4 linked regions of the Caenorhabditis elegans genome follow. The protein of the gene in region 1 interacts with the protein of each later gene in a pairwise test. Each region holds a gene or a part of one and is shown in the gene's direction. Other genes may lie near its edges. The genes, in order: lin-37, C39D10.7, tac-1 and fbl-1.

Region 1 (3,856 bases):
AATACGAATTCGAAAAGTCTGCCATATGATAGAAAGTCCTATTCAAACTTCGCGCGTAAATGGTTCTCAATAAAGCGCGGTTGCACTACTCTTTTTTTGTCGCTCTTCGTCAACTTCTGGTAGCGTGAGCCCTTCAAATATCATCATTCAAATGCCCATTTTATCGATTTTATTGAATTTTAGTTATTTTAAATCCAATGATTATTCTCAAAATGAATTTCATAATCATCGGCTGGTGTTTTTGAAGGTTTCTAGTGTGTCCAAACGAAATTTATAGTCCTAAAATATTAACATTCAGTAATTCATAATTGCTTAAGAATTAAAAATTACCTTCTTTGTTCCTTGATATCAAGTATATAGTTTTAATATTAATTCAATATCTTTCAGGTAAGCTAAATCTACAAAATGTCATTTTTCCATTTCATCAATTGCTTCGCGTTGGCATTTGCACCATATTTTATTGTCTACAAATACTCAGGTAATATTTTTTATGGGAAGTCAATGAAACACCACTATTTTTATAGGAATTAACGAATACAGTTCCATCTGGAAATGTGCAACTGCTAGTGGTGGATATTTGCTGACACAACTCGCCAAACTGCTTATCATTGCCACATTTTTCCCAGCCCTCGACAGTGAAGGATTCAGTATTGTGCCGGTATGTAATTAATTTTTCTATTCAAAATTGGAGCTATAAATAACGTTTCAATGAAAATCATTTTAATTCAAGTTTTAAGTGAAATTTACCATAAACCCATCCTCGCCGGACATAATCCTTCGGACACTTCAAACTTATTGATTTTGGTTTTCATTGCCAATCTCAGAATCATTGCAGGAATTCCTAAAAAGCAGTGCTGACATCATCGATGTCATTGGGCTTCACCTTCTGATGACCAACTTCTTAGCCGGAAAAGGAGAAGTTCGATTCGTTGTCGGTGGTCTTGGCTGGGGATTCGCTCATTCTGTTGCTCATCGTCTTGTTCTTTTATGGGTTGGAGCTCGTGGAACCGCTTTCACATGGCGTTGGGTTCAGGTGATCAAATCTTCCTTTTTTCTGAAAAAAAGATAATATTATATTTTCAGACATCTCTTGATTCCTCAGCTGATCTATTGGTTATTGTGTCTCTCGCCTGCCTTACATGGATGATCACCCGCACTCCAAACAAGTTCTTGGTGTCACCGATCCTTGCGATGTGTGTCTTCTCAACATTCGTTTATCAGTAAGTATTGGTTTTACTAGTCAAAAAATGTAAATTTTTTTTTATTTCAGAACCGTTCAACACACATTCTCTCTCTACGGATGGTCTCTCTTGGCATTCCGCTTTGCCTACTCCATCGCAACAGCAATTCTCACCGTCGTTGTCTATTCGGCAAACCGGACAGCGTCCACAAGAAAGAACGAGTAGCAACACATATTCTGCTATAATTCACTTTTTGTCAGTTTCAATACTATCTTAGATTCTTTCAGAATTTATATATTTATTCGAAATTTTCTTCTCTCCTTGTTCATGTTTATACAAGTACCCAAAAATATTTATTGTTTAATTTAATAACTGCTTCAAAAATTGTCGTCCTTATATTTACTCTACAATTTTTATCTCTTTTTATTAAAGGTTAAATACCTTTATTACTTTGGCAAGTATTCGCTGTTCACTGTCCAAATAATGTATTCCTCTCCAATTCTAGATGTCAGAAATAGATCCACTTGCCGAGTTCTTGCTTCCAGAAGACGGAGATCGAAATGCTCGTCAAAATGATCCATTGATAAGCGGAGGTCCACTTCCATTGGAATCGCCAAGCAGAAAACTCACGTAATACTTTCTAAACTTGAAACAATTGTGCTACTCAAGATGCTTCCAGATCCCTGTTATCCTATGATCCGACAGTTCCGGAGTCACCGGATATGAAATTCGCCAGAAAACGTCTGGGAAATCTGCTGACAACCATAAAACATCACCCATCGGAAATAATTGGAGTACTCCCAGAAGATTATACGTAAGTGATAAAATGGAAAATTTCAATTCTTGTTTAATTTTCGGCAGAGTATACCATGCCTGGGGCGAAAAATCATTTTTTTTTTGGTTTTGATTTTGTATCAAAAAGCAAAAATATGTAAAAAAGCCAAAAAAAAATTGGAGATTGAATTTTAAACCTTAATATTTGAGAAAAAGAATTAAAAACTATGCAGAGCCACATTTAGTTTGAAAGAAAAGTAAAATAAATTTTGTACACAGAAAACGTTTACAGTAAATACAGCATTTTTTTTCAGTTTTTTGGTTCCAGATAAATAGTTAATTTTTGTCAAATGTCGCGTCCTGGAATATACATAACAGAAAAAAATTTAGACAATGTGGACCTTTTTGTTTTTCGTAATATAAATTTTAGACATAATTGAAAAATTAGAGTTTCCATTGCATTTTTTATAATTTCAGTCGTGCTGATGAAGAGCCCGGGCGCCAAGGACGTCCACCAGGTCGCCCTCGTAAGATGCCGCGTCACGAATCTTCAACTTCACTTATGGAATCACCACGCAAGACTATGACTCGTGATTCTAAAATTATGTTTGAATTGCGTGGAAAACCATTCGAAATGATAGCTGGACGTTTTGAAGAAGAATATTCACTTGGTAGAGCATGGGTTAAAGGACACATGAATAATGAATATGAACCAATAAAAGCTCAAAGGACAGACTATGCACCGAATCTGGCTGTTGTGAGTGGGAAAGATTAAATGAAAAATGTTATAATTATTTCCTTCAGGATTATCTTGCATGTCGCGAGATTCATCGAATGCCACGTCCAGATAAATCAATTCCTGAGCTGCCAATTGTTCCATCTAGAATCGATGAATTCGACGCTACAGTCGATCCAAGATATGAAACAGATTTGAAAAATGAATACATTCGTCATTGGAAACAAGTCAAAAAAGGGTAACACTTCTTCTGCCATTGAAAATTTCCGTAAAAATTTATTTCTTAAAGTATTACGGTAACTGTGCTCTATGTTAGAATTTCATTTGTCGAATTTTGTATCAAACTATAAAATAAAAAATATTGTACTAGCAATCTGTGATCACTACTATTTCTTCAAAGTCAGAGAATCCAAAAAAAAAAATTTCAGTTGGTGTGCTCATCAACGTCGTCGGACTGCTCCCCATGCAAGAAGCATAGCATTAATCAACAAAATCTACCAGCCTGGAGAGTCGAAAACTGTCGAGCAAGCACTTGGTCTTATTTAAATATTCTAACATGTAATTTCAATTTATCTCTTACTTTCTGATCTTGCTATCACATGTCTCTTATTTCAAAAATCTCACTTTAAAATTCATATAAATAATGGGTTTATTCAAATACATCATCTTGACAATTGTTTTTTCAACGTTTTTCTTCCACTTTTTGGAGATTTTCCTGAAGTTTTCTCGAGCTCGTCAGCTACTTTTTCTTGTTGAATCTTGTTAATATATTTTGCAACTTCTCGTTCGGCAGTTTTCATCAAAGCTTCTATAGCGAATACAGTCTGAAATAGAAATATTTTGAGAATATTCAGATTTTTGAATTTTCACTTGAAATCCACTAAAAATCACAATCATTGTGTAGAAAACGTATTCAAGTGGGAGATTCAGAAAAGAGCCATTCACTGCCAAGAATACTGTAAGAGGAATTTGAATAATAATTGTAGTTATTAAGAATCCAAAAAGAGCTGACATCTGTAAACACTAGTGTCGATTTTCTGACTTGACTCATTCAAAACTTACATTTTCTGCCAAATTTCCATAAAATCCAAGTCCTAGCCGTACTCCTTCACTTCCCAAATGAACTAAACACGCAGAAAATGCAATTACTTGATACGTTAATGAC
Region 2 (7,575 bases), on another chromosome or scaffold:
TTTTAAGACATATTTTTGACACTAGTTGAGGTTATATATTGAATTTTTAGCTGAAATAAATACCCTATTGAATTTAGTAAAGCAGTTTCAAATACGTTTTCATACATTAACAAATTGAATGTATTTTCAAACTTTTTTATTTTTCGAAAAAAAGTCTCATTTTCTTTTATTGTAGTCTAGAAAACAGACAGTTTTTTTTAATTTTTAATTGTAACAAGACTATGAATAATTTCCAAATATATAACGTTTCTTTAATTTCTAATTCTGTTTCAACTTCCATCTCACCTGGAATGGAATTAATGATTTCATGTATACTCATACTTCTTATAAGTGATATCATTTTTGACAGCAATGCGGAAAATGTTAGAATATCACAGATTGTGCAATAGTTGTTCTCGCTTGAAAATTTTCCCATCAGGAAATGAACATTTTTCTTCCAGGACAAATGCTGCCGGAAGATTCAAATGATAAGAGATATCAACTGTGGGCGGGATCGAGAAGAGCAATGGTGAGGCTCGAAGAGGTCACTACGTCAGAACTGTTTCGAGAAGGGTATGCGAATTGAATAATGCAGATTGATTATTTTAAAATTGTATGTTTCAAATTGATTAGTGTGACTAATTAAATAACCTGGAATAAACACTCGTGATAATTAACTGGTTGCGATATTTAACAATGTAAATAAAAATAGTTAAAATAAAATTTTAAGTGAAACATGTTAAACTATGAAGGAAAATTACGGTTGAAACATTATTTGTGTTACTACTATTTCACATTTACTCTTTTTGGCTACAAACGATTTTATGTTAAATTCAGTTTTTAATCGTTATATTAGAGATTCAAAAAAAACTTACCCAGAACATGTTCAGCAATTAATTATAATTATATTCGCTACTTTATTGAATATTTCGTTTGTAAATCTCATGTTGTTTCGTCGATAAGGTACTTTTTAAGAAGATATAATTATTCTACAACCAGGTTAATTTTGACAATGCCAGAAAAATACTATAGTTTCCGGAAATATCTTTCTAATCCGTTTTTTTTCTACAAAAACACATGCGCATCGAACATCATCCGTTTCCAAGGCTGTCCGAACTTTTGCACGATTTGCAAGTCGTGTTTTCTTGTGGTAAACAGTCAATAATCTCGTAATTACTATTGACTGGATACGTCAATTCGTTCATTCCGGGTCACCCGGTAAACTTAGAGATTGTCATAAGGAAAAACGAAAATAAAATAAGATCTCAGTTTTCGAGGTACTTATTCTTTCTAGATTGAACACTATACTTGCAAAGAAAAGAATGTGAATGTTTCGTTGATTCATTTTTCTTTTTTAGTGCTTGATATTCTTTTATTTATTAATAAATATCTGATGGATTGGGCTTTTGATCAATATCTGAATTCCAATCTACAGGTTTTCTAGCTTTTTATCAATAAGAGCAGAACAAAATCCGCCCACCATCCAAGACAGAACAGATTGACAATATAAAAGCATTGTGTTTCAGATAAACAATCATTCACATTTCTTTCAAATTTTCTTCTCGCAATTTTCTTTTTATTTTTTAGATGCGACAGCTTTCAATATTTGCGGCGGCTGTCATCCTCATCTCGGCGGACGCCAAAAATGTTCTGAACCCGAAAGGACCACCATGCCCGGATGGTGACGGGCTTTATGCTGTTGGTTGCAGCTCAAAGTATCTTCAGTGTGTCAACGTGAGTTTTCTTTTGGAGCTTTACAAGGGAAGTCGATAAACTTAATGTCTGACTTTGGCATGACATAGTATTTTTTCGATAAAAGAGTGATAATAATGATCCCTCCAAAAAATTTAGCTGCCCCGGTCCAGGTTTAGCAAAGTTATGATGTTTTGAAAGTGCCGAAAAAATTTCTTGACCTACCAAAAAAAAAACTTTTAAAATTTCAAAAAAAAAAATTGTTTTCTGAAAATCGATAAAAACTGTTTTAACTTATCCAAAACAGTGAAAAGCATATATCATACACGTTTTTTCTCACCACGGACAAAAAACCACATACCTTGAGCAAAATTCCAAAAAGTACTTTTTCTGGTAGATTAGTTTGTGGGTTTTCTTGAGAGTTGTGAGCTAAAACAACTTGCAAACATTTTTTCCTCTTTTTAGAAAAAAATGTTTTTTTTTTGAAAATTTTGAAATTTTGTAAAAAGGTGTTTTAGTCACTTTCAAAACGTCATAACTTTGCTGAACCTGGATCGGGGCAGCTAAATTTTTTGGAGGGATCATTATTTTCATTATTTTATCGAAAAAATACTATTTCATGCCAAAGTCAGACATTAAATTTTTCAACTTACATCTTTAAAAAATATACTATAACGATTTGCAATATTTGTACCTTTCACGTCACATATTTTGCAATAGAACAGTCATAAAAATTTGCAATTCAAATTTTCGAATTTTAAAGATAATACCAAATTTTTTTAGCTCGAAAATTTTCATGATACTTTGAAAATGAAAAAAAAGCGACAAAAAGCGAGCCATTGTGAGAAAAAAAAGAATAACTGTGAAATAGGCGAGTCGACCCATTACGACCCATACGCATCTCTAGCTGATACCATTTTTTAATGAAACAAATATTTATTTTCTTTTCTTATTTCTTTTGAGACCACTTCAAAGTAATGGAAAACTATTGTAAGGGAATGTTTAAACCATAAATCTGAATTTAATTAAAATTTTTTATATAATTTTCAGAATGTTGAATATGAGCAGTCATGCCCAGAGGGTCTTTATTTTGACCGCTTATTAGCACGTTGTGAGCGTCGTTCTAGCAACCATCTCTGTGCCACAGGTGATCGTGTAACACTCAATGTCCGCCAAAAGGCCGTGTGAGTTTTATTGGAAAATTATTTTTTCTGAAATATTTTAATTGAAAAATTTCAGTTCGATAAATTGTGTGGGCAGACTTAGTGGGGATTATGCACTGGACAAGACTGTGTGTAATGAAAACTATTATCAGTGTGCAAATGGAATATCTTACATGAGAAAGTTAGTTTCAAGTGCAGAAAACTTATTAAAGAAAACACATAATCAATTTGAAGGTGTCCATACCAGCAAGTATACGTTCCAATTCTCAAGCGATGCGATTACCACACCAACTGTAATGCTTCTGGAGGAGTTAAAGATCAAGCAGCTGCTGCCTATGCTTCACCAACATATGATTCGGATAACTACATCGTCACTACCAAAGAATTTGAAAATGGGCACAATGGTTCGGCCTTACTAGTATTATTATCATTAAAAATGTTTATTTAAGGATTGGACTGTAAAGTTACTGGAGACATGCATTTCACTGATAACGTGAAGTGTTCCCCATATTTCTGGCAGTGTTCGAATGGAAAGCTGTTCAGAAAAACTTGTCCAGAAAAGCTAATCTACGTTTTGGACCAAAACCTGTGTGACTTTCCAGAGTCTGTGAAAGATTGTCCAGAATATAACGGGTGAGTTGATCAAATTTGTTGTGTAAATGAAGAAAACTTAACAAAACTTACTTTTGGGTAATTTATTTCAGCTCCGAAACTTCGTATAGAGCACCAAAAACCACTACTTCTTCTTCTTCTTATGGGTCAATTGCTGAAGCTCCAGTGGATCCAACCCCATATGCTCCAGCTTCCGCGCCAGTCTATTCCCCACCAAGAACAACCTACGTCCCACGCTCGACATCAGCAGCTCCACCAAATCCACCACCACAAAATCCAACTGCTGCCCCATATGTTCCAACTGAAGCTACACCTTCACCTGTCTTCTCTTCAACAGTCAGATACAATCCAGCAGTACACGGAGATTGCAAAAATAGAGACGGAATCTTTGGAATCAAAGAGTGCCACGCATCATTTTTGAGTTGTGACAACGGAGTTGGTCGGGTTATTCAATGCGCGGATAATCTTGTATTCGACACAAGAGTGTCAGCTTGCGAATTCGCAGCAATTTGTCTGTAAGTTGAATATTCATTTCAAATTGAAATTTGTTACTGTATAGGTTTGGAGTTTTTGTCAGTTTCCCTGTCATAAGGTTTACTCAAGAAAAAATCTGAATCGGAAGTTGATTTACTTTCGTAATAATCTTCTCATAAATATGATATAAATAAGTCAAATCTAAAAACAAAATTTAGAGAGCCACGAAAACCAGAAGATGTACCTGTTCTTTACAATCACGGAGGAGCCTATAACGAGAGACCAGCTGAAGTGAAAGTAGACTTTGACTGTACCGGAAAACCAAACGGAAAGTACATCAAGGAAGCATGCACCAAAAGCTTCTTCACTTGTCACGATGGAAGAGCTTTTGCGAATGACTGTCCTGGCGATCTAGTCTTTAACAAAGCTACTGGCACCTGTGATTTTGCTGAAAACTGTGAAAAGTACCAATCTCAAATTGTTTGAAAAGTTATAAAATCAAAATTTCAGAAACTACATGGAACCATCTCAAATTTACAAAGGTGAAGACACTCCAACTACTACAATTGGATACTCGTCGTCCGTAGTGTACACAACCACTGAACAACCAGCAACAAAGCCGTACACACAGCCACCAAGAGACACTGAACGGCCATCAACGATTTACGGACGTCCAATTTACACCAAGGCTCCGACCACTGTTGGATATGAACAACCAAAAGCTACATACACTACTCAGGCTCCAGTCACAACTACAATTGCTTTGGACGAGTGAGTTTTTTAATTTCAAGGAAAAAACTCCCTCTTTGGACTAGATCACTATAAAAATTTTAGCAGCTTTTTTTTACTCAATTTTTACTCAATTTTACTCAATTGGGAGTTCCTGAAATAGACATCTAACTTTTTCCAGTTTTTTCAAGGAATTAGATTCATAAAATATCTTCAATGACAGTGTCTGTCACAAAAATGCTATTGGAGGTATTTGAAATTTAACAAACATCTTGGAAACTGAATGAAAGTTTTTAGAAATTTTCTCAATCAGACAGTTTCCGACAAAAATTGCGTTCCTTTAGTTGGAAAACTTCTAATGTGTAAAGACACAGCTGTGTTATTTTTAATGTTCTAGTTTATTTTTTTCAAATAATTTGAGACTATCTGAGATTATGCAAATAGCTGAAATCTGATTTAAAAAAGCGGCAAAAAATTTGAGATATTGTTCAATTACGAATTTTATCCAATTTAAAAGTAAGAAGTATATTGTATAATTTCAAGGAAAATTTTTTTAAAGGTTTTTCAATTAATGTTTTAGGTTAAGCAGCGGAAACCATTTTAATCTATTTCAAACAAAAATTCCCCCTAAGAGCTTACAACATTTTTGTCAAAAGTGTTCCAGTTATAATTATACTTTCCAGCTTTTCCTGCAAACACCTCGCTGATGGAAACCATGCCTCTGGTCTCTGCAAGAGCGTATTCTACATTTGCGCAAACGGACAAGTCGTTGCAACTACATGTCCAGCAAATCTGATCTTCAATCCATATGTCGGAGAATGTGATTACAGTACGAATGTCCGAGATTGTCAAGGGTACCAACCAACCACCACTCCATCATACTCCTACCCTAAAACTACCAGCAAACCATATGAACAACCAAGTACCACCCAAGGATATGCTCCAATTGAATATACTCCGGTTACTCCAGGGTACGCACCACAATACACATCAACAATCTTCACAACAACTCTATCCCCAAAATACGCTGCAATGTGTGCAAAACGTGATGATGGAAACTATGGATTTGACTGCGAAAAATACTTGATCAAATGCTACAATCGTAAAACATTCAAGTTCCCTTGCCCGTCAGGATTGTACTACAGTCGTCTACAAGATAAATGTGACGTGAAGGAAAATGTGGAGGGATGTCCAGAGTACAAACCAACTACAGACGCAACACCAGCTGCCGAGCAACCAGTCATTTCATATCAAAACTATGGATACTCTCAAAGCACCACCAAAGCGTACAATCCATCCGTGACCACTCCATCGCCACAGCATGCTGCTTTCTGTGAAAGACTCGAAAATGGAAACTACGGTCTTGATTGTGAGGACTATTACATCTCGTGCAACAACTTTGAGACTACAATTAATCGTTGCCCCGCAGGATTGTTTTACAGCAAATTGAACAATCGATGTGACTACAAGGAGCATGTCGAAGATTGCCCAGAATACAAGCCAACTCCTTCTACAACACCAGCAGCAGAGCAACCAGGCACGACAAAATATACAACTTACAACTACCCAAACATTGATTACACCTCCACAACTCCAGGACCAGTAGACACCACACCGTTGGCAAAGGCGTTCTCCTGCTCCGGACGTCCTGATGGAATCTATGCTCTTCCGTACTGCTCACAAGACTACGTTCAATGCATGCAAGGTTAGACTGTGCAAAATCACAAGTTATCTGAAAGTAAGCAATTATTAATTGCAGGTCGTTCACTTATTTCCTCATGTGCCCCCGGACTTTTTTACAACGAAAAGAATGGAATGTGTGCTTACAAACACACCGTGGATACATGCAAAATGTAAGCATATCGGAGTACTGAATTTGATGTGGTGGATTAATGTAATCGTACCTAATGAACTTAGTTTTTTAAAGAACTTTCAACTTTCATTTTAATAATTTTAGCGGCAAAGGATCTGACATAATCGATTCGAATGCTTGTTTTGGAAAATCAGATGGTTATTACTCTGCTGGGTGCTCCTCATATTACTTTTCCTGCATTGATGAACAGATTCGTAAGGTATGTTCCGATTAATGTTGTTCAGTATTTCGCAAAATTTTTTAGATGAGCTGCCCGAACAGTCTCAAATTCTCCAAGGAATCCGAAAAGTGTGTATTCCCAATTGACGCAAAGGAATGCTCAATTGCAACCACTCTAGACAGAACACCTCCAGCGTAAGATTTTGTCATGTTACTGCTCTGATGAAACATTTACTTTCAGAGTGCCAAGTGATTTCTGCACGATCAGATCTAACGGACTCCACCACCTCAAAATGTGCTCCCCACATTACATTGTCTGTGACAACGGAAGAGCCTTTGTGAGTTTATTAAAATATATACATTCAAAAATAATATATGCTTTTCAGTCTGGAACTTGTATTGCTCCATTGGTGTACAATGGGGACACGCAAACTTGTAATTATAAGAGCACCAATAAGGACTGTGGCAATGATTACATACCTCCAGTTGCTGAAGTCACATCTAGTTACACAACTTACACCACCAAAAGATTTGAGCAGCCAGCTCCAACCACGACTGCAGCCCCGTATCAACCTCAAACAACGACTACTGGAAAGGTTCTCTACAAAGCTGCATATACCACCACCGCTACACAGTATGAAGAACCAGCAACAACTCCCTCTCGCGATGTAGAGACTCCAACCACCACTACTCACAAACCGTACGAGACAACCACTGAAGCACAAGATGCAACCACAACTACTACAGCTTCATATGTGGCCCCAACTACAAGTTCTGCGTATAAGTCATATTAATATATACACTTATTTTTGCCTTACGTCTTTTTTGAGTTTTCAATGAATTATTATATTTAGAAAAAAAGAGTTTTGAAGCATTAAACATTTAAATTGGGAC
Region 3 (3,116 bases), on another chromosome or scaffold:
ATTTTTCCGTAAAAAACTTGTTGAAACTCTAAAATTAGCCTAAAATCGATAATTTAATTTTTGAAAAACGTTTTTTGTGGAAAAATGTCCGAAAAATTGACAAATTATGTTCCAAATTGTAAAAAATGGAAAAAAAATAAAAAAAACAGCCAGAAAACCAAATTCAAAAAATCAAAAAAAAATTAGAAAATTTTTATAAATTTTTTCACTGTTATATTCTGCCATTTAGAGCAAATTTTTAAAATTTTCAAAACTATTACCTTCGCCTTCGCCTGCCTCGCATGCTCAACTTTCGCCAGCTCCTGGCTCTTCACCTCGAAAACTATTTTATTCCGTTTTTCGAGTATATCTCCGGCTAATTCGAACAATTCGACGCCGAGAAGATCGATGAGCTCGCCCTGTAGATCCATATCGGAACGTGTCGAGCACAACATTTGTAGAAGGTTTTGGGATATTGTCTGAAGGAAAATAGGTTAGAAACTTGATTTTTTAGCCGAAAATCAACCTCAAACGTATCTGGAAAATATATAAGCAATGTGTCAGCAATCGGCTGAAAAATGCTCCCAGAGCCCGAGGTAGAAGGCACTTGGGGTAGGGAAAGAGCTTCTGGAGCTTCTGAAAAACCTTCTTGTTCAGCTTCACAATTCGACCATTCTAGAAATTCCGATGGAAATCGAATTTGAATTTCCTGGTGGAAGCTTGCTACCCGTGATGGTGAGGGTGGATCTGAAAAAACATCTGGTAAAAATTTTTTTAATAAAAAAATGGAAAAAAAGCTAACTAACCATCTCCAATTCGTTCGATATAGTTGAGAAGATCCATTTTGTACCTAGTTTGGCAGCTGTAAAATTAGAATTAAAATTAAAATGAAAAACTATATTTTTCAAGAGAGAAGGATGTTCAAACATTGTTCAAAATTTCGCAATTTTTGAAAAATCGATTTTTTTCTGAAGTTTTAAGTTTTAATTACTTTTAATTTCTATTTTGTTTAATTGCCAAATATTTTTGTTTTTTTCTCTGTTTTAAGGTGAAAATTAATAAAAATGAACAAAATAAGGTCCTGGCCGCTTCCCTTCTCTGACCTAGCGCTTTCTAGGCCAACTGCACTTTTATTTGGCGGTTTTTTATGCAAAAGTGTATTATATTAATTTTTTTCGCAATAAAGATGTGTTTTTAATCATTAAAATAGTTTAAAATGAAGAGAAACATTGAAAATTGAAAGATAACAAAAAATGTTTTTAAAAAAATTCTACAGTACTTTTTAAAGGCGCAGTCCAATTTTTGTATTGATTTTCCCGCCACGATTACTCTTGTGGACTCTTTTTTCGTGCTTTTTTTGTTGTTGGTTATGGTTTTTACTGATTTTTTTTGAATTAAAAATTAAAAAATGACTTTTTTAATTAAAAATTTGTTTCAATTATTTTGAAACCCTCTTGTAAAGCCTTGTAAAACAAGAAAATTGAACTACAGAAGTTTTAAAGGCGCATACTAATCTTCAAAACAATTTTCCTACCACGAAAATAAATGATGACGCGGGAAAACTGAAGAATCGTTAATTTTCTCCGTTTTTCACGAAAAATGTCGGTTTTTTCTATTAAATTCATCCGATTTTCAGATGTCGCTCAACACAACCTTCACCAAAGAGGACGGAACCGAGGTCGTCATCCCATTCAACGGGTCGCAAAATGGGCATCCGGAGAACGAGGAGCCAGAGGTTGAAGAAGCCGCGGAGCCCAGTTCTTCAGTGGAGACACTGTGCGGTGCCACGAGAGGCGACATCATTGTGATGAAGCACACGACGAAGGCGCTCACAGAGTTGATCGAGCGGCTCTTGCACTCGGATGGTGAGAAGCTTTGAAAAATTGCTAAAAGAGATTTTAAGAGGAATAAAACCATATTAATTTCAGAATTCGAAGTCCGTCGCTGCTCAAACGGCCAAATCATCTCACAAGGCCGCTGCAACGGAACAACGCCAGGAAACGGCATCGGAGGCGGCGGGGCATCAAGCGAGGAGCTCGAAAAAGCGCTGAAAGATCGAGATGCCGCCCGTGCCGAAGCCGACAAGCTCCACGCCAACTACGCGACACTGTTCGCCTCGTTCAACACGGTTCGCGAAGCCGCCAACGACATCCGCGGCGAGTACGAGGACGCGAGGGACAAGCTGAAGCTCGCCGCCGCCGAAGTTGACGAGTGGCAGGCAAAGTTCCTCGCCGTCAAGGATAATGCGAATTCTGAGCTTGAGAGGTGAGTGAGAGAAAATTTAATTTGCAACATGTAAGAATATATTTCAATTCAGAGCATCCGTGGAGTACGACGATCTTCTCCGATCCCACGATGAGAACACAAAGGGACTCCGTCTGCGTGTAAAACGCCAGGAAATCGAGCTCTCCAGCAAGAACGACGAGATCAAGGTGCTCACGAACCGCGTGTCGGAGCTCTCACAGATTTGCGATCAACTTCTGAATGATGTCGACGTTTCCGATGGGATGTCCGTTATTTCGACGGATGCATAATTTATTTCTGTAAAATATAATATTTCTTCCCCCCGCCTTTTCGCTTTCCGCCTTATATTTTCTAATTGTACATGAATTTTTCAGCTTATTTATTTGTTTTCCAGATTATTTGTATGAGAAACAAGTACAAAAGGCTTCGTTTCAGTATTTTACCGAGAAAAACTACAATCTTCTAAATTTTCGCGCCAAAGATACAGCGCCCGGTCTCGACACGAAAAACATTTGCCAAATGCAAGCATGTGTGCGCCTTTAAAGTGTACTGTAATTTCCAGGCCGAATTTGTTTTGATTTTTTTAGTTCTCACTTGTTTTTCCAAACAATTTATGCGTTGTTACGAGGTTTTTGTAATAAAAGTCAATAAAATTCCTACAGTAATCTTTAAAGGCGCACACCTCTTTTCAGACTGCCGCATGGATTTTGAGCGAATTTTTTGATTAAAATGTATGCAAAACTTTCAAAATTTCTATTAAAATCTTGCAATTTTCCAGATGAAAAAAGTGGAAATTCTGAAAACATCTCGGCCATCATCTGCAGGAGGCGCTGCCCGACCCTCCACAGCGAGCCCAACTCATGGAGCACCGAAAATCGCCATCAAAACACGTC
Region 4 (6,917 bases), on another chromosome or scaffold:
CTCTGTGAGCCATGCAGTCTATGCAATCTACCTACCTAGCGGGTCGGTGTTTCTTTAGGGGTGGCAATAGGTTGCAACAGGTCGACCTATCGCCACCCCTAGTTTATTCCAAACCAAAATGAGGCTCCGAATTAACGAGTATCAGAGGTATAAGGCGCATACAAAATTTGTGGTGTCAAATATTTGGCAGTCATTTTTTTTTGAAACAAAGAACATATTTATTTTCAGTTATTTCCTACAAAACTTTAAAAACTGCAATCTATCTAATCTTTAAAAATTTCAATTATGTTCAAAAAGATCTGAAATTTAAACGGTTAAAATATAGATATTCATACAAACGAGAAAAGAAATATATTCATACAAACGAGAAAAGAAATTGCCGGATTTTTAACCAAAAATAATCAAATCCTGAAACTTCCCACCATTTTCCCCACTTCCCAATGTTTTTCCAACATTCATGCCTTTGAGTTCAAAAAAGATTTTCATTTTATTTTCTGAATGTGTACCATCACATGTGAACTCATTCCTCCTCCATCGTTTACGATCTCTTTTTACGAGCTCCGCCCTCGAAAATGCTTCTGATCATGTAAACGAAAAGAAAAAAGATGAAGAAGACTGCTGACTGACTGACGATGTATCATTTTCTCACATTGTGTTATGTTGCGATTGAGTGTTAAACTTTTTATTTAGAGGTTTCAAACAGATGAGTCACTTGCCGATTATGAAAATACTGTTTTCGAGTTTGAAAATGTATATAACTTGTAAATATGCAAACTTGTAAAAACTTGTAAAACACTTGGCGTTTATTTTTTATCCATTTTCGTTTCCAACTCTAGAACAAGAGAGAATTTTGGGAAACTCTTGCCAGTATCTTACAAAAACTTTTTTGTGTCGTTGTAACATTGGATAAGACATTGGAAATAGTTGTTCAAACTTGTAGATACTTTGGTAATAGCTTCATAATGGTTTCACAAGTCTAACTCAAACTGTGCAAAAGCTTCACAACTTCTCAACCAAGTCTATTTTTTGGGAAAAAACTGCTCAAGAAGTCAGCTCCAAATTCTGAGTAAGTATGATTGTTGCCCTGAAACGTAAAACAAAAATCGGATAGGTATTTTCCGATTTTAACTATAAATCCACCATAAACCCCGTCGATCAATTTTGCGCTATTCCAATGAAAGACCGTTTTTTTTCAATTTAATATTTTCAAAAACTAAAATAATTCAAATAAATTTTTTGTTTTGGTTTCAACAGTGTCGTTTGCCATTTTTCTGTTCTAAAAATATACCCAAAATCTCACATTTCCTCGAAACATTCCATGTAAACATCTGTTCCAATGCTCCTCCCTCTTCCTTTCAATGCTCATTTGAAATTGTTTCACTTAATTAACCAGACTATTATCCGTGTCATTTACGGGCACATATACATCTACATACATCTCAATAATATTAATAACAATAAGCTTAGATTAGAAAGGAAAATGCGGGAACATGAGACGCAGGCAGAAGCAGATAGATGGGCGGTTCCAAATCGGGAATGTTGGAAAGCTTTTCGATTTAGACACAACGAATTTTTGAGCAAAATGTGATAAGAATAGTAATATGTTGTGCTATTTTTATTGTTATTATTTTCTGTTTTATCATTCTTTTTGCGTCTTGCGTAACACTTATCACTAAACGGCTTTTGTGAGGTTTTCACACGTTTTCATAAATTCTTATCAGTTTCATTGTTTTTATGGGAGTTTTTTCTTTTATTCTTCTTTTTTTAAAAATCTGAAAGTTTTCAGTACAAACTTTTTTTACTTGCCCTGTGTACGAAATATGATCTAAATGAGCACATGATGATGTGATATTATTTGATCTTTCCTCGAAATCCTACTCATTTTCTTTGTGTCGTGCCACTTCCGTTCCAATTCACAACTTTTTGTGTTTCCGTTACAACATTATCTGCTTTCTTACAGAATTACGGAAACCCCGTGGAAATTTTAGTAGATTGGATAGAAATATGCGAATTTGTTTCTTATTATTGGCATTTTTGGTGGCAGGTAAGCTTTTTAAATTTTTTCAAATATTTATTTAAATTTTATGAATAATTAATAAAGAGGGCCCTCAAAAACACTTTGAAAATAGGCCATTTTCTAACATTATCCATAAAAAGAAAACTATCACAAACAACGGGAAACTTTCAAAATTTTCAGAGACCTTTGCCAACGAACTTACAAGATGTTGTGCTGGAGGAACTCGTCATTTCAAGAATTCAAATACTTGTTCAAGTATCAAAAGCGAAGGAACAAGTATGACGTGCCAAAGAGCTGCATCCATATGTTGTCTCAGAAGTTTATTGGATAATGCATGTGACTCTGGTACAGATATTGCAAAAGAAGAGGAGAGCTGCCCAAGTAATATAAATATTTTGGGAGGTGGATTGAAAAAAGTAATTTTAAAAAATCGAATAAAAATATAAATTGAGATGGATTTCAGGAGTGTTGTGATTGCTGTCTTCTAGCCAAAGATTTGCTCAATCGAAATGAACCGTGTGTTGCTCCAGTTGGATTTTCAGCTGGATGTTTGAGAAGTTTCAATAAATGTTGTAATGGTGACATTGAAATCACACATGCTTCCGAGATCATAACTGGTAGGAAAACAGAACATTTTCAATATTATTTCTTTTTAAAAAATTGAAATAATTTAATTCGGAACTTTTCATAAAAAATACCCGATTTAATGTTAAAATTGTTTTTTCATGTTTTACAGGACGTCCACTCAATGATCCACATGTACTTCATCTCGGCGACCGATGTGCGTCATCTCACTGTGAGCACCTCTGTCATGATCGTGGAGGCGAAAAGGTTGAATGCAGTTGCAGATCTGGATTCGACTTGGCACCAGATGGAATGGCTTGTGTAGGTATGAATATGTTTTACGCTTTTTTTTGTGCAGGTCAAAACCAAGTTAGAACTTTTCGAAAATTTAATTTTGAATGGAAAATAATAAAATTAATAGTAAAATACATAGTAAAATTAACATCACACTGTTTATCTGAAAATTGGTATGTATTTTATGCAAATTGGCAGCTTTGATAATTTTCTTTTGTTATTTCACGATTTCAGAAAAAAGTTTTCCCACTTTCACTACATCCATTCCCGGTCCTCTAGCTTACCCACATACCTTTTGTGCTTCTCTTTCAGATCGTAACGAATGTTTAACCCGCCAATCCCCATGTACCCAGTCTGAAGATTGTGTTAACACAATTGGTGGATATATCTGTCAGAGAAGAATTTCTCGTCTTGTTCCCCATCGTCATCGTGCCAATCGAATTGGCAATGCGCCAAGAAGAATGAGAGACGATCCATATTCTCGTGCTGGAGAATATAGAGAAGCATCACAAGCAAATACAGAGTTTGGATGCCCAATGGGATGGCTTTTTCAACATGGACATTGCGTTGGTAAGATAATTTAACAAGAAAATTAAAAAAAAAACAAAATTTAAAAAGTTGTGTGCTTATTGTTTTTTGCGCACTTTAAATTCAAAAAATTAAAGTTTAATCTAATTCTAAATTAACTGTTTCTTGAAATAATATTTGTCGTGTGCTGTCTGTCTAACCCTCAATCCCTAGAATGTTCTCTCCATCATCCATGTTCACATTCTAATCAACATTGTCTACCCTCTCCTGGGAATAATCGTGGCGATGGTTCCTGTGTCTGCAATCGAGGATATTATTGGAGTGATACTAACTCGCAGTGTGAAGGTTCTTGCTTTTTAAATGACTAACTGAATGAGAAATTGGAAGCTATGTTAATTGACAATATAATATTTTTCGAAAATTTTGAACATCACTGACAAACTCGCTTGCTGAAAAACTAACCAAAACTAACTCCAGATATTGATGAGTGTGCCACACTGATGGACGATTGTTTGGAATCTCAACGATGTTTGAATACTCCTGGAAGCTTTAAATGCATCCGAACACTTTCATGTGGAACTGGTTATGCAATGGACTCTGAAACTGAGCGGTGTCGTGGTTTGAATTTTTGTTTCTAATTTTTGGCGTCTTCTAGAAACAATTGCTTTCTGATAATTTTGAATAACACTTTTAATTGTAAATATTTTTTTGTTGAAGATGTTGATGAATGCAATTTGGGATCTCATGACTGTGGACCACTCTATCAATGCAGAAATACACAAGGAAGTTATAGGTTCGTGATTGGAACATTGAAATAAATTCATATTAAATTATAGATGCGACGCAAAAAAATGTGGAGATGGAGAACTTCAGAATCCAATGACTGGAGAATGTACATCGATTACTTGCCCAAATGGATATTATCCAAAGAACGGAATGTGCAATGGCGAGTCTTTATTACATCATATTGTGTTTCAGTTGTTAAACTAAAAACAATTAATGTTTCATAATATTTACAAGGGGAGACTATACTATACTTTCCAGATATCGATGAGTGTGTTACTGGCCACAACTGTGGAGCTGGTGAAGAATGTGTGAACACCCCTGGATCATTCAGATGCCAACAAAAAGGAAATCTGTGTGCTCATGGATATGAAGTTAACGGAGCTACTGGATTCTGTGAAGGTACGTTTTTTATTTGTGACTAATGAAATTTAAAGTTTACTTTCAATTAATATCACTGAAACTCTAAAATATTTAAAACCATAAAATACGGTTTTCAGATGTGAATGAATGCCAACAAGGAGTCTGTGGATCAATGGAATGTATAAATCTTCCGGGAACGTACAAATGCAAGTGTGGACCTGGATATGAATTTAATGATGCGGTAATAAGAAAAAAAATAATCACAAAAAAGATTTATTTCAGAAGAAGAGATGTGAAGATGTTGATGAGTGTATCAAGTTTGCTGGTCATGTTTGTGATTTATCAGCCGAGTGTATTAACACTGTACGAATTTGCTTTGAAGTTTCCTCATTTTCAGTTCACTTTTCAGATTGGTTCATTTGAATGCAAGTGTAAACCAGGATTCCAGCTTGCTTCAGATGGTCGTCGATGTGAAGATGTGAATGAATGTACAACTGGAATTGCTGCATGTGAACAGAAATGTGTTAACATTCCTGGAAGTTATCAATGTATTTGTGATCGAGGATTTGCACTTGGTCCTGATGGAACAAAATGCGAAGATATTGACGAATGCTCAATTTGGGCGGGGTCTGGAAACGATTTGTGCATGGGAGGATGTATTAATACAAAAGGATCATATTTGTGTCAATGTCCACCTGGATACAAAATTCAACCGGATGGAAGAACTTGTGTTGGTTCGTTGAACTTCACTTTCGTGAACAAGAATTCTTGTCTCGAAAATGGTTTTCCAGTTAAATTTTATGACATTGCAAATACTTTTAGATGTTGACGAGTGTGCCATGGGAGAATGCGCTGGATCGGATAAAGTATGTGTTAATACACTTGGATCGTTCAAATGTCATTCCATCGATTGCCCAACTAACTATATTCACGACTCGTTGAACAAAAAGTTAGTTTTTAAAGCTATATAATTTTTGCATAAGCTTACCCTAATTTTTCTTGAAATTTCCCAATTCATGAATAGTCTTAATAGAAAATTGGATGTCTGCAAAGTATCTGAACTAATACGTTTGAATGTTCCACTAACAATATTTTCAGTCGTTGTAATCGTCAACCATCAGCATGTGGTTTGCCTGAAGAATGTTCAAAAGTACCATTATTCTTAACCTATCAGTTTATTTCTTTGGCACGTGCTGTACCTATTTCATCTCATCGTCCTGCAATCACTTTGTTTAAAGTTTCTGCTCCAAATCATGCAGACACTGAAGTCAACTTTGAATTACAATTGAAGACTACTATAGTTGGTATGAATTTTCTACTGACTGTATCTATAGAGACTGCTATTTCAAAAATGCTCTGAAATACACATACTTCAGCATTTCTAAAAAATTAGGAAGTCATATTAGAAGAGTGTTTTTTAGCAGTTTTTCTTGATTACCTTTACGCTAACCCTAGCCCACCTAATTTCAGGTGCTCCAAACGTTCTTCCAGCTATTCGAGCTAATTTTTTACTTCAAAAAGGTGAAAAACGAAATAGTGCAGTTGTAACACTTCGGGATAGTTTGGATGGACCACAGACAGTGAAATTGCAACTTTTACTCAGAATGAGCAAAAAAGGCAAAAACTTCAACACATACGCTGCCAACCTGATTGTCGATGTGGCAGCTCACAAGCGACATAATACGGTTCATCCACCGCTCATGAAGATTCGATAGAAACAATTTTGTATGACTTTGTTTTGTTGATAATGTTTGAATAGTGTGACTTGCTGTGATGATCTCAAAATTTGCATGGATTAATAAATATTTTGATAATGACAATTTCGACATGTTTCGTATAGCCCATCAAGATCGAATAAAATAAAAATATTATTTTAAATATTTCTGAAATGAAACAGTAAATTTAAATTTTTGAATTTACGTCTAAAATATTTTCAGCCAAATTGCTGATGGTTATTCTTGCATCAAAGTGTGCTCAACAGAAGATACCGAATGTCTTGGAAATCATACACGAGAAGTTCTTTATCAATTCAGAGCAGTCCCATCATTGAAAACAATTATCTCACCGATTGAAGTGTCAAGAATTGTTACACATATGGGAGTTCCATTTTCAGTTGATTACAACTTGGATTATGTTGGACAAAGGCACTTTAGAATTGTTCAAGAAAGAAATATTGGTTAGTAGTAGACTATAAACATTAATTTATAAAGGTTTTCATGAGTACATGAGTTATTTTGTAAGTGAGTTATATCTGGAAAATTATGAACTCTGTGATCCTTTCGATAAAAATGATTTTGTATTTTTTTCAATTGATCTGCAGCTCTTAAAAATTGTAAACTATCTTTAAATTTAACTTGTTGAGCTTGCC

The links.
Region 2: the proteins of lin-37 (region 1) and C39D10.7 interact in a two-hybrid assay, tested with the Caenorhabditis elegans proteins (3 studies listed by BioGRID).
Region 3: the proteins of lin-37 (region 1) and tac-1 interact in a two-hybrid assay, tested with the Caenorhabditis elegans proteins (3 studies listed by BioGRID).
Region 4: the proteins of lin-37 (region 1) and fbl-1 interact in a two-hybrid assay, tested with the Caenorhabditis elegans proteins (3 studies listed by BioGRID).

What each region holds. Positions count from the first base shown.
Region 1 is NC_003281.10:7,070,383-7,074,238, reverse strand, and holds lin-37 (uncharacterized protein), read left to right. Parts: upstream 1-1,686; coding exon 1,687-1,811; intron 1,812-1,860; coding exon 1,861-1,995; intron 1,996-2,432; coding exon 2,433-2,712; intron 2,713-2,759; coding exon 2,760-2,929; intron 2,930-3,119; coding exon 3,120-3,237; 3' UTR 3,238-3,349; downstream 3,350-3,856. Other genes in the region: ZK418.5 (BOS complex subunit TMEM147), read left to right, coding at 406-478, 525-658, 836-1,033, 1,084-1,220, 1,271-1,406; tmem-17 (transmembrane 17 domain-containing protein), read right to left, coding at 3,354-3,515, 3,583-3,705, 3,754-3,856.
Region 2 is NC_003284.9:7,907,922-7,915,496, reverse strand, and holds C39D10.7 (Chitin-binding type-2 domain-containing protein), read left to right. Parts: upstream 1-1,566; coding exon 1,567-1,713; intron 1,714-2,721; coding exon 2,722-2,855; intron 2,856-2,910; coding exon 2,911-3,015; intron 3,016-3,068; coding exon 3,069-3,238; intron 3,239-3,283; coding exon 3,284-3,467; intron 3,468-3,538; coding exon 3,539-3,961; intron 3,962-4,138; coding exon 4,139-4,384; intron 4,385-4,430; coding exon 4,431-4,691; intron 4,692-5,332; coding exon 5,333-6,354; intron 6,355-6,408; coding exon 6,409-6,502; intron 6,503-6,606; coding exon 6,607-6,721; intron 6,722-6,766; coding exon 6,767-6,876; intron 6,877-6,922; coding exon 6,923-7,019; intron 7,020-7,067; coding exon 7,068-7,475; 3' UTR 7,476-7,531; downstream 7,532-7,575.
Region 3 is NC_003280.10:14,752,375-14,755,490, reverse strand, and holds tac-1 (Transforming acid coiled-coil-containing protein 1), read left to right. Parts: upstream 1-1,613; 5' UTR 1,614-1,615; coding exon 1,616-1,844; intron 1,845-1,907; coding exon 1,908-2,244; intron 2,245-2,296; coding exon 2,297-2,513; 3' UTR 2,514-2,600; downstream 2,601-3,116. Other genes in the region: Y54E2A.4 (Activating signal cointegrator 1 complex subunit 3), read right to left, coding at 261-458, 506-726, 786-822; smg-9 (Nonsense-mediated mRNA decay factor SMG9), read left to right, coding at 3,002-3,116. UniProt on the Caenorhabditis elegans protein: Involved in microtubule formation, polymerization and assembly, regulating microtubule nucleation and length. Plays a role in pronuclear migration and mitotic and meiotic spindle elongation during early embryogenesis.
Region 4 is NC_003282.8:9,538,848-9,545,764, forward strand, and holds fbl-1 (Fibulin-1), read left to right. Parts: upstream 1-1,960; 5' UTR 1,961-2,004; coding exon 2,005-2,044; intron 2,045-2,197; coding exon 2,198-2,433; intron 2,434-2,480; coding exon 2,481-2,634; intron 2,635-2,753; coding exon 2,754-2,906; intron 2,907-3,187; coding exon 3,188-3,445; intron 3,446-3,880; coding exon of another isoform or gene 3,881-4,021; intron 4,022-4,120; coding exon 4,121-4,196; intron 4,197-4,239; coding exon 4,240-4,349; intron 4,350-4,447; coding exon 4,448-4,588; intron 4,589-4,686; coding exon 4,687-4,790; intron 4,791-4,831; coding exon 4,832-4,912; intron 4,913-4,958; coding exon 4,959-5,283; intron 5,284-5,371; coding exon 5,372-5,498; intron 5,499-5,647; coding exon 5,648-5,853; intron 5,854-6,019; coding exon 6,020-6,264; 3' UTR 6,265-6,396; downstream 6,397-6,917. UniProt on the Caenorhabditis elegans protein: Incorporated into fibronectin-containing matrix fibers. Plays a role in cell adhesion and migration along protein fibers within the extracellular matrix (ECM).